Linked DNA regions of Mus musculus. The protein of the gene in region 1 binds, or shares a complex with, the protein of each later gene. Links are inferred from orthologs where the notes say so. Each region holds a gene or a part of one and is shown in the gene's direction. Other genes may lie near its edges. The genes, in order: Cdhr2 and Myo7b.

Region 1 (4,294 bases):
AGACCAGGCAGGCTGGCCTTGAACTCAGAAATCCACCTGCCTCTGCCTCCCGAGTGCTGGGATTAAAGGCATGTGCTAACATGCCCACTCACTTCCCCATATTCTAATAAACTTTCCTACTACCTCTGGTGGGTGGTGGGCTAGAGGGGAGGTTGAACCCTTATGGAAGTAGGTTGTGAAAAATACATGCCCACACTAGGTGCTCAGCAAATACAGATTCTCCTCCTTCCTCAGAGACGTGAGGCCAGCCTTCAATGGGACCTTGCAGAACCATGAGCTCTTTGGGTAGATTGGTGCTTCCTGAGAACCCGCAGCAGCACACCAGGATTGCACAGGGATGCCTCGGTCTCCAGAGCGAACAGCAGCCACTCAGCCAGGAAGGGGCGCACGGCTGGTGAGCTGCAGCATGGGCCTCCTTCCTACTATGAGGTAAGATGAAATGAACTTGGGGACCTGTTCCCCCGAGGGAGGCCACCACTGGGAGTGTGTGGAGCCCCTGGGGCAGTGTGTGATCCTGCCCTTTGATTTTGTTTGTTTGTTTGTTTGTTTGTTTGTTTGTTTTGTTTTCATTTGTTTTTTGAGACGGGGTTTCTCTGTCTAGCCCTGGCTGCCCTGGGACTAGCTCTGTAGACCAGGTTGGCCTCAACTCAGATATCTCCCTGCCTCTACTTCCCAAGTCCTGGGATCAAAGGCACCACTGCCTGGCTTGTTTTTGTTTCTTTGAGATAACATCTTATTATGTCTGGTTTAAAACTGGTTATAGAGACCAGCTAGGCCTGGTACTCACAGGGATCCACCTGCCTCTGTCTTCTGAGTGCTGGGATTAAGGACATATGCCACTATGCCCAGTGTTGGCCCTGCCCTTTGATGTCCTGCTTAGAGGGGACAAATACAGGGCTGAAAAGGCCTTGTTGGAACTGCAGGGTGGGTACCCCTTCATGCCGGCCTCGGGGCTTGGCCTGAGGGCTCAAGGGCTTGATAGCTGTCAAGTCTCTTCATCCCAAGAGATCTCCCCACACCGCTTTCTCTACAGGTCCCCACTGAAGATGAGCCAGGAGAGGACAGAAGGTCCTGACATGACCTCTGACTGTCACCACCTCTTGCTTGCAGTGAGACCCTGGGCTGGGCATTTGCCCCTTCTCTGTCACTGGGCCTGCCTATTCCTCCAGGGTTTTGCCTGCTCTGGTCACAGCCAGTGCCTTCTGAGGAGGTGTGGTCTCTGCATGGTTAATGATTGCTCAGAAGAGGTGGAGATGGTGCCAAAGTCTGCGCTGTGTTCTGCCGGCCCCAGACGGCGCCCACCTGTGACTGGTGTACATCACTGCCTCTGGGCCCCTTCCAGGGGCTGTCCAGATCAGCTGCTTCTGGGGGGGCTCTTAGCCCGAGGGTAAGCCTGGGTGGGGGGCTGTCCTTGGGATTGAGGCAAACTTTGAGTTCTTTCAGACTCAGTTTCCTGGCATCTGGAGTATGGAGGGAACACCAAGGGGAAGAGCTAGCTGTGGCGTTAGCTACTTGTCATGGGGAGGGCGGGAATTGATGAAGCTACCCGTGAAGCCTGTTTCTTCTAGAATGTAGGGTAAGATCTCCTCTCTAGGCAGTGGCAACCTCCTGTTTGCCTTCCTAAGTCCCTGAGAAGTGAATTGGCTACCTCATCTGTTACCTAAAAGGAGAAGATGAGGAAGATGGCTGAATCTGTCCCGGAGCCTGAGGAGGAAAGGCTGGCTCCACTCCGCCAGGCTCAGATCTTCATTCAGCTCCATGCAGACTTTGAGTGAGCTGCTGACTGCTTTTGGGCCTCAGTCTTTGCGTCTGTGGAGTGGGCACAGTACTAGTAGCCCCTGGAGGGCTCGTGAATCAGATATGGCAGGGTACGGAGGCTGTCCCTCTCAGACTCAGAGATCAAACGCTAGGTCACCTCAGGGAGGACTAACGATGCTGGTCCCAACCCTAACTTAGTCCTTGTCCTGGTCACAGGGTAAAGACTCAGCCAGGCCAGCTTGTGTCTTCAAACAGGACTTACATGCTGACTGGTCCCAGGTAGCATATCAGAGAATAATGACATTCCCCTGACCAGCCTAGGCCATAGCCTGCTCTCACCTCATTCCTCAGAGGAAAACCAAAGCTGAGGACAAGGGAGGCTCGCCCAGTGCTGGACAGACAGTATGTGAAATGCTAAAATCCTAACTTGGGGCCTGATCCATACCCGTCTCTCAGAGGAAGCAGCCAGGAGGGCGGGCACCATCTCTGGCTACAGGAAGCCCGGTATCCCTGGAAACTTAAAGGTCCCTGGGTCCGTATCTTGGGGAGCTGGATCACTTGGCTGGGCTGGTGGAATTAGGAGAGACCTTTGTTAGGCTCAGCAGAATGGTACCTGGGTCTAGCCTTGCCTGCAGCTGGTGATTGACCTTCTATCTTTGTTGTTGACTGTCCCTCTGATCTGATCTCTGTTTTCTTAGGGCAATGGAGAGTAACTGTGAGGTAGCTGCTTCCTTCCTGTGAGGCAGCTGTGGGAAGGAAGCAGAAGCGAAAGGAAGGGCTCAGGGAGCTGTGGAGGCTGAGGCAGGGTGGGGTGGCTGTGGGGTTAGCGAGCCCGCCCGTGGCTGAGCCTTTAGCAGGGGAGGGCTCCCTTCCTCTGTAGCCTTCCAAGATGTCCTGGGGTCTTCACATCCAGTCGACTGAATTGTAGAGTCTTTGGTTTCCTGGAGTCTTGTCGAACTGCGGCCAATGTGTCCGCTGAGACAAGAGAGAGGAAACCCCTGCTGTGTCAGGCCTGGCAGAGCATGACCTGGGTCTGGGGGTCCGTAGAGTGATCTGGAGCCCCTATGCTCCTGACTTTTCCTCAGACACTTTATAGGTGAATAGCTGTGCAGTTTTGTTTTTAACTGACACAAAGTAATTGAACATATTGATAGAGTCCAGCAGACCATCTCCACATTCCAGGGTGTGTCCTTCACAGCTACCATGCTCTCTGTGGTAGAGAGCCTCCTGTCCAGCCCCAAACCAGTGGGCTGGGAGCCTGGGAGCAAGGACCTGGGATTTCTAGGTTCTAGATCTGTTCTTTCTTTCATCTTTCTCCACTATCCCTATCTTCTTCTCCCTCCCTCCTTGCTTCTCTTTCCTTTTACGGGTCTCTCAATACAGCTCAGCCTTATATAGAACCAGAGGGCCTCCTCTCTGCTGAGCACTGGGATACTGGCTGGGCTCCAGGCCCAGTTTCCCATCATTTAAAGAAGTAGAGTGGTTGGGAGCTGGCATCAGTGGTGTCTCACATGAGCCTATGTTTGACTTGTGGTCCTCCATAGGAGAAAAGGGCACCTAGGGGACGTTCGCCCAGCTCCAGTGCCTGGGCACATGGCCTCCCTTCTTCCATATGACCTGTAGCATATGTTCCCTGACTGGAGCTCAGCGGCTCTGGCTGTGAGTCTTGAAGGACAGAGAGAATTTGCACATGGGCAAGGGACACAAGAGGGCCTTTGGGGCTGAAGAGACACATGCAAATCTAGGGTAAAGAGAACGCAGGGTGTGTGTGTGTGTGTGTGTGTGTGTGTGTGTGTGTGTGTGTACTGTGTGTGTGTGTGTACTGGATACCACAGAGGAAAAGGGATCCACTCTTGGAAGGTGAAACCTGGGTCCCCTAAGAATTTGTCTTGCCAAGGGTGGGAAGTATGGCCCACAGCCAGTCTGAGCCTTGCACGGGTCTGGTCTTGAGAGTGCCTGTGCCTATAGAGGTAAGGCTGGTCACCTGGTACTTTCCTATCTCATAACACATTTTTCTTAAGTGATGGAGTCTGGGAGATACTGCTGCTGCCAAGTGCAGAACTTTGGCCTCATTATGGTCAGTGAGTATGTTTGTGAAAAGTCAGTGACAAAGGGGACAAGACTGTGAAACTCGGGGTCAACTCATACAGTATAGGAAGGAGGATCAAAAGGAGTTCTAGGTATGAGTCAGGCATGACCCTGTGACAGCTAGATAGAAGACCCAGCTTCCTGGAGGTGTAAGGGTCCCCATAGGTAAAAAGGAATGTGTAAGCCATCTCCCCTTTCCAGGAGATAGTGACTTCACAGGGGTGGCATGTGAGTGTGCAGGTGTGGGGCACTATCATCTGAGGCACACCAGGAGGACAGGAGGGGAAGTGTGAGGGGACAGAGAAGGGGGCTTGAGTGGAGCCCCCAAGGGGCCATGGCGAATGAAGGTTCCAGTTGGTTTTCTTTTCCCTCAGCTGCACCTCACTGGGGGTTCTGTGTAACCTCGGGGAGAAGTGTGTGTGTGTGTGTGTGTGTGTAAGAAAGTGGG
Region 2 (3,806 bases), on another chromosome or scaffold:
ATTAGGGAAGATTTGCCATCCACCTGTGACCTCCACAAACACACACACACACACACACACACACACACACACACACACACACAAAACATGAAGAGAAAGAAAGAAGCATTTTGGTGTCCGACTGGACTCAGGAGTGGCTTCTTGGCCCACACAGGGCACTATGGTCCCTGTCTTCCTCATACGATGTTAAGGATAGATGTCTGTGTTGGGGCGTGGCATATCGCAGCTGTTAATCCCTCCTGCCCCCAATTCTCAGTTCTGGTCCTTGGGCAGCGGCTGTGACCATTTGATGGATGCTGTGGCCCAGTGTGAGCAACTGGCCCGAGAGAGGGGAGAGAGCCAGCGGCAGGCCCCCTGGCGTATCTACTTCCGGAAGGAGTTCTTCACCCCCTGGCATGACTCCCAGGAGGACCCTGTGAGCACTGAGCTCATTTACCACCAAGTCCTCCGTGGGGTGTGGTCTGGCGAGTATAACTTTGAGAAGGTGAGGAGCCCTGCGAGTTGCCCCATTCCTAGACTGTGGCCATCAGGATGCTTTGCAGTATAGGGGCTACGTGGCAATGGAAGTAATAAAGAATGTGGCAGACAGGAGCCTGAGGAAGGATGGATGGAAAGGTAGATACAAGGGTGCAGGCATGGAGCCAACACTGGGCACAGACATCTCTCCCAGGCCTGGCCGCCTTCTTCCTCCTCTGGGTTGCAGGTTTGCTTGGGCATCTGGGATCCTTGGCACCCACAGCATCAGGCAGAAAAGGCCCCCCTACTTGTCCCAGGCTCCCTGACCTCCCACACCAGCTGCTCATAGAGCAGTGTATCCTGGGGATCAGGAATGTAGCCTCGAAGCTGAATGATGATAGCCTGGGTTCGATCCCTCGTACTGTATAAACTGAACCTGGTAGCGAACCCCTGTAATGCCAGCAACTGGGAGGCAAGAAGAGCATAAGTTTAAGGTTATCCTTGGATATATAGGGAGTTTGAGGCCAGTCTGAGATACATGAGGCTTATTCTAGGGGTTGGGGGGAGGGAGAAGGAGGGAAAAGAGGGGAAAGAGGAGGAAGAACATGGAGAAAGAAGAGGGGAGGAGATGAGAAGGGAAGGAAGAAGAGGACCCTCGGGGTCACTCACATCTGGGATGCACAAAGAGCTCTAACAACAGGGTGCTCTGTGACTATGTGGCACCAGGTGCAAACACCACATGCCACATCAGGAGGCTGTGTCTTGGGACCCTAACAGCCACAGCCATTTCAGCCGTCTGCCTGAATGGGGCAGCCACTGTGTTTTTGGCATGGGAGGACTTTGCCCCTCCTAGAGCAGCAGTGTAGGGGAGAGGTTAGGACAGGAGGCTGCTCCTGCCTCCTTCCTTGTGTGAGAGGCTGGTGAGCCCCACTGCTCTGAGGCAGGAGCTGCCTCGTGGGAAGACCTTGTGGGCCCTTACTCACCCCTCTTATGCTCCCGCTGTCCCTGGCACACAGGAGGAGGAGCTTGTGGAGCTGCTGGCCCGGCACTGCTATGTGCAGCTTGGGGCCACGGTGAAGAGTAACGCTGTCCAGGAGCTGTTGCCCAGCTGTGTTCCCTCCAAACTGTACCGGACCAAGTCTCCAGAGAAGTGGGCTAGCCTTGTCACCGCTGCCCATGCCAAGGTCAGTCTGTGGCAGGCTGGGCACTCTGGGTCCACTCTGAGGGGTGATGAGAGGAATGGGTCCCTTCCCCCATGAGTCTCCCATGTGCCAGGGACCAGGAAGCCTTAAAAGGCACATCCCTGATGCAAGGGACAAAGTGTCTCCTTCAGCTCAGCACATCAGCACAGGTTCCTGTCACCTGCCCTCCCTCTGCATAGGCCTCTTGGTCCCAAACTGCTCTGCCCAGCGGCACCTAGCTGGCCTTTTTCCAGGGCCTGAGGCTCCACAGCTGCTGAATTCTGACAGTTCTGTGGCCTGGCACAGGCTCATCATTTCTTCCCTTCATGCTCACCTCCAAGCCTTTCAGTGTCCCCTCAGTGGGCACATGGAAATCTTAGGTCACCGTGTACACGTCCTAAGTGTTTGGTACATGTGGCAGATGGCCAAATCACCCTTCATATCTGCTGTGTTCATTTCCATGCCTAAAGTCAGCACATGAATGTAGAGATGAGAAATGGCATTTGGTCCAACAGAGAAAGAAAACTTGAGGCCATTTTAGGCACAGCCCAGTGGATGTGGGACATGTGAGGAAGGGAAAGGGCGAGCCAGGCAAAGGGAAGAAATATAAGGATGAGAGAAGTGTAGAGATGGCTTGGTTGGTAAAGAGCTTGCTGCGCAGGGCTGACACCCTGAGTTCAAATCACCAGAACCCATGAAGTGCTGGGTGGGGTAGCACACGCCTGTGCAGTCCCGATGTGTACCTTCAGAGAGATGGAGGCAGGAACAGGAGGATTGATAGAATCCTGGGAGCCAGCTAGCCTGGCACAGCAATAGTGAGCAACAAGAGACCATGTGTCATGCTGGGCAGCGGAGGTGCACGCCTTTAATCTCAGCACTTGGGAGGCCAGAGGCAGGCAGATTTCTGAGTTCGAGGCCAGCCTGGTCTACAGGATGAGTTCCAGGACAGCCGGGGCTACACAGAGAAACCCTGTCTCAAAAAATAAGAGAGAGACAGAGACAGAGAGACAGAGAAGGGACAGAGACAGAGACAGAGACAGAGACACAGAGACACAGAGAGAGACAGAGACAGAGAGAGAGACCATCTGTCAATCAAGATGGAAGGTGAGGGCCAATGTTGGAGGTTGTCCTTCATCCTTCCATATGCAGCCCGGGCTTTTCCACTCTATATAGGCCCAGTATACCCAGTCGAAAGCCACGCCACTGGCGGTGAGGGAGCAGACAGTGGAGGCTGCCCGTCTTCTGTGGCCCCTGCTCTTCTCCCGGCTATTTGAAGTCACCACACTCTCTGGTAAGAGCATGTGGTGCTGTGTGGTTGGGGAGGACAGGGTTCTCATGGTGATCAGCATGGCCTTCAGTCTGGGGTTGCCTTCTGGCCAGGTCCCCGCCTTCCCAAGACGCAGCTGGTTTTAGCCATTAACTGGAAGGGGATGTACTTCCTGGATCAGAAGGAGAGGACACTGCTGGGGTTGTCCTTCGCAGAGGTCATGGGTCTGGTCGCCAACAGGTAAAACTCAAGTCTTTTACTTCTCAACCTGAGACCTTGGCTTAGGTGGATGTGGAACTCAAGGACAGACATGAGGAGGGGCTCACGAGTCAGCAGTAGCAGGATAAGTGGAGCAAGCACAAGTGCAGGGTGAATCTGCGGCTTCTTTGAAAAAACAGAAACTGTATAAGAATACGTCTGCATTTTAATCCCAAGTGTAGGACATGGGGCCGCTTTAAACAATTCACAGCCGCTGATTATGACTTGCCTCATGCTTTATCAGGGGCGTGATTTTGCCAGCTGCAGATAATTTCTGCAATTGTGAGACGTTTGGAATTCTGGGGACTTTTCAGAGGGTACATAAATGCTGGGTTCTCAAGAGGTGGTATGGGTTGCTGGTTGGTGGTTGGTTGCTGTTGGTCATAGTTTGATAAGTGGGCATGATCAAAGGCGAAACAACAAGAGGAAGAAATTCGATATGCTGACAGAGAAAACCAAACTTTCACCAAGGAACTCACACCTCTGTCAACAGGAAGTAGTCTAACAGTAATGTCGCCCCTTTCCCCTCTATCCTTTGTTCTGTCCTTTCTAGCATTAGGGGGTTGTAAGGGAGAGAGAGGGTATCACACTCTCTGGTAAGAGCATGTGGTGCTGTGCGGTTGGGGAGGACAAGGAGCCTGCTC

Evidence for each region.
Region 2: Cdhr2 (region 1) and Myo7b share a complex: the UniProt entries of both Homo sapiens proteins name them as parts of the IMAC/intermicrovillar adhesion complex. The link is inferred for Mus musculus from reciprocal best matches to the Homo sapiens genes CDHR2 and MYO7B.

Annotation. Positions count from the first base shown.
Region 1 is NC_000079.6:54,700,183-54,704,476, forward strand, and holds the start of Cdhr2 (cadherin-related family member 2 precursor), read left to right. Parts: upstream 1-1,280; 5' UTR 1,281-1,387; intron 1,388-4,294. UniProt on the Homo sapiens protein: Intermicrovillar adhesion molecule that forms, via its extracellular domain, calcium-dependent heterophilic complexes with CDHR5 on adjacent microvilli. Thereby, controls the packing of microvilli at the apical membrane of epithelial cells.
Region 2 is NC_000084.6:31,970,659-31,974,464, reverse strand, and holds part of Myo7b (unconventional myosin-VIIb), read left to right. Parts: intron 1-256; coding exon 257-484; intron 485-1,472; coding exon 1,473-1,640; intron 1,641-2,810; coding exon 2,811-2,928; intron 2,929-3,017; coding exon 3,018-3,144; intron 3,145-3,806. UniProt on the Homo sapiens protein: Myosins are actin-based motor molecules with ATPase activity. Their highly divergent tails are presumed to bind to membranous compartments, which would be moved relative to actin filaments.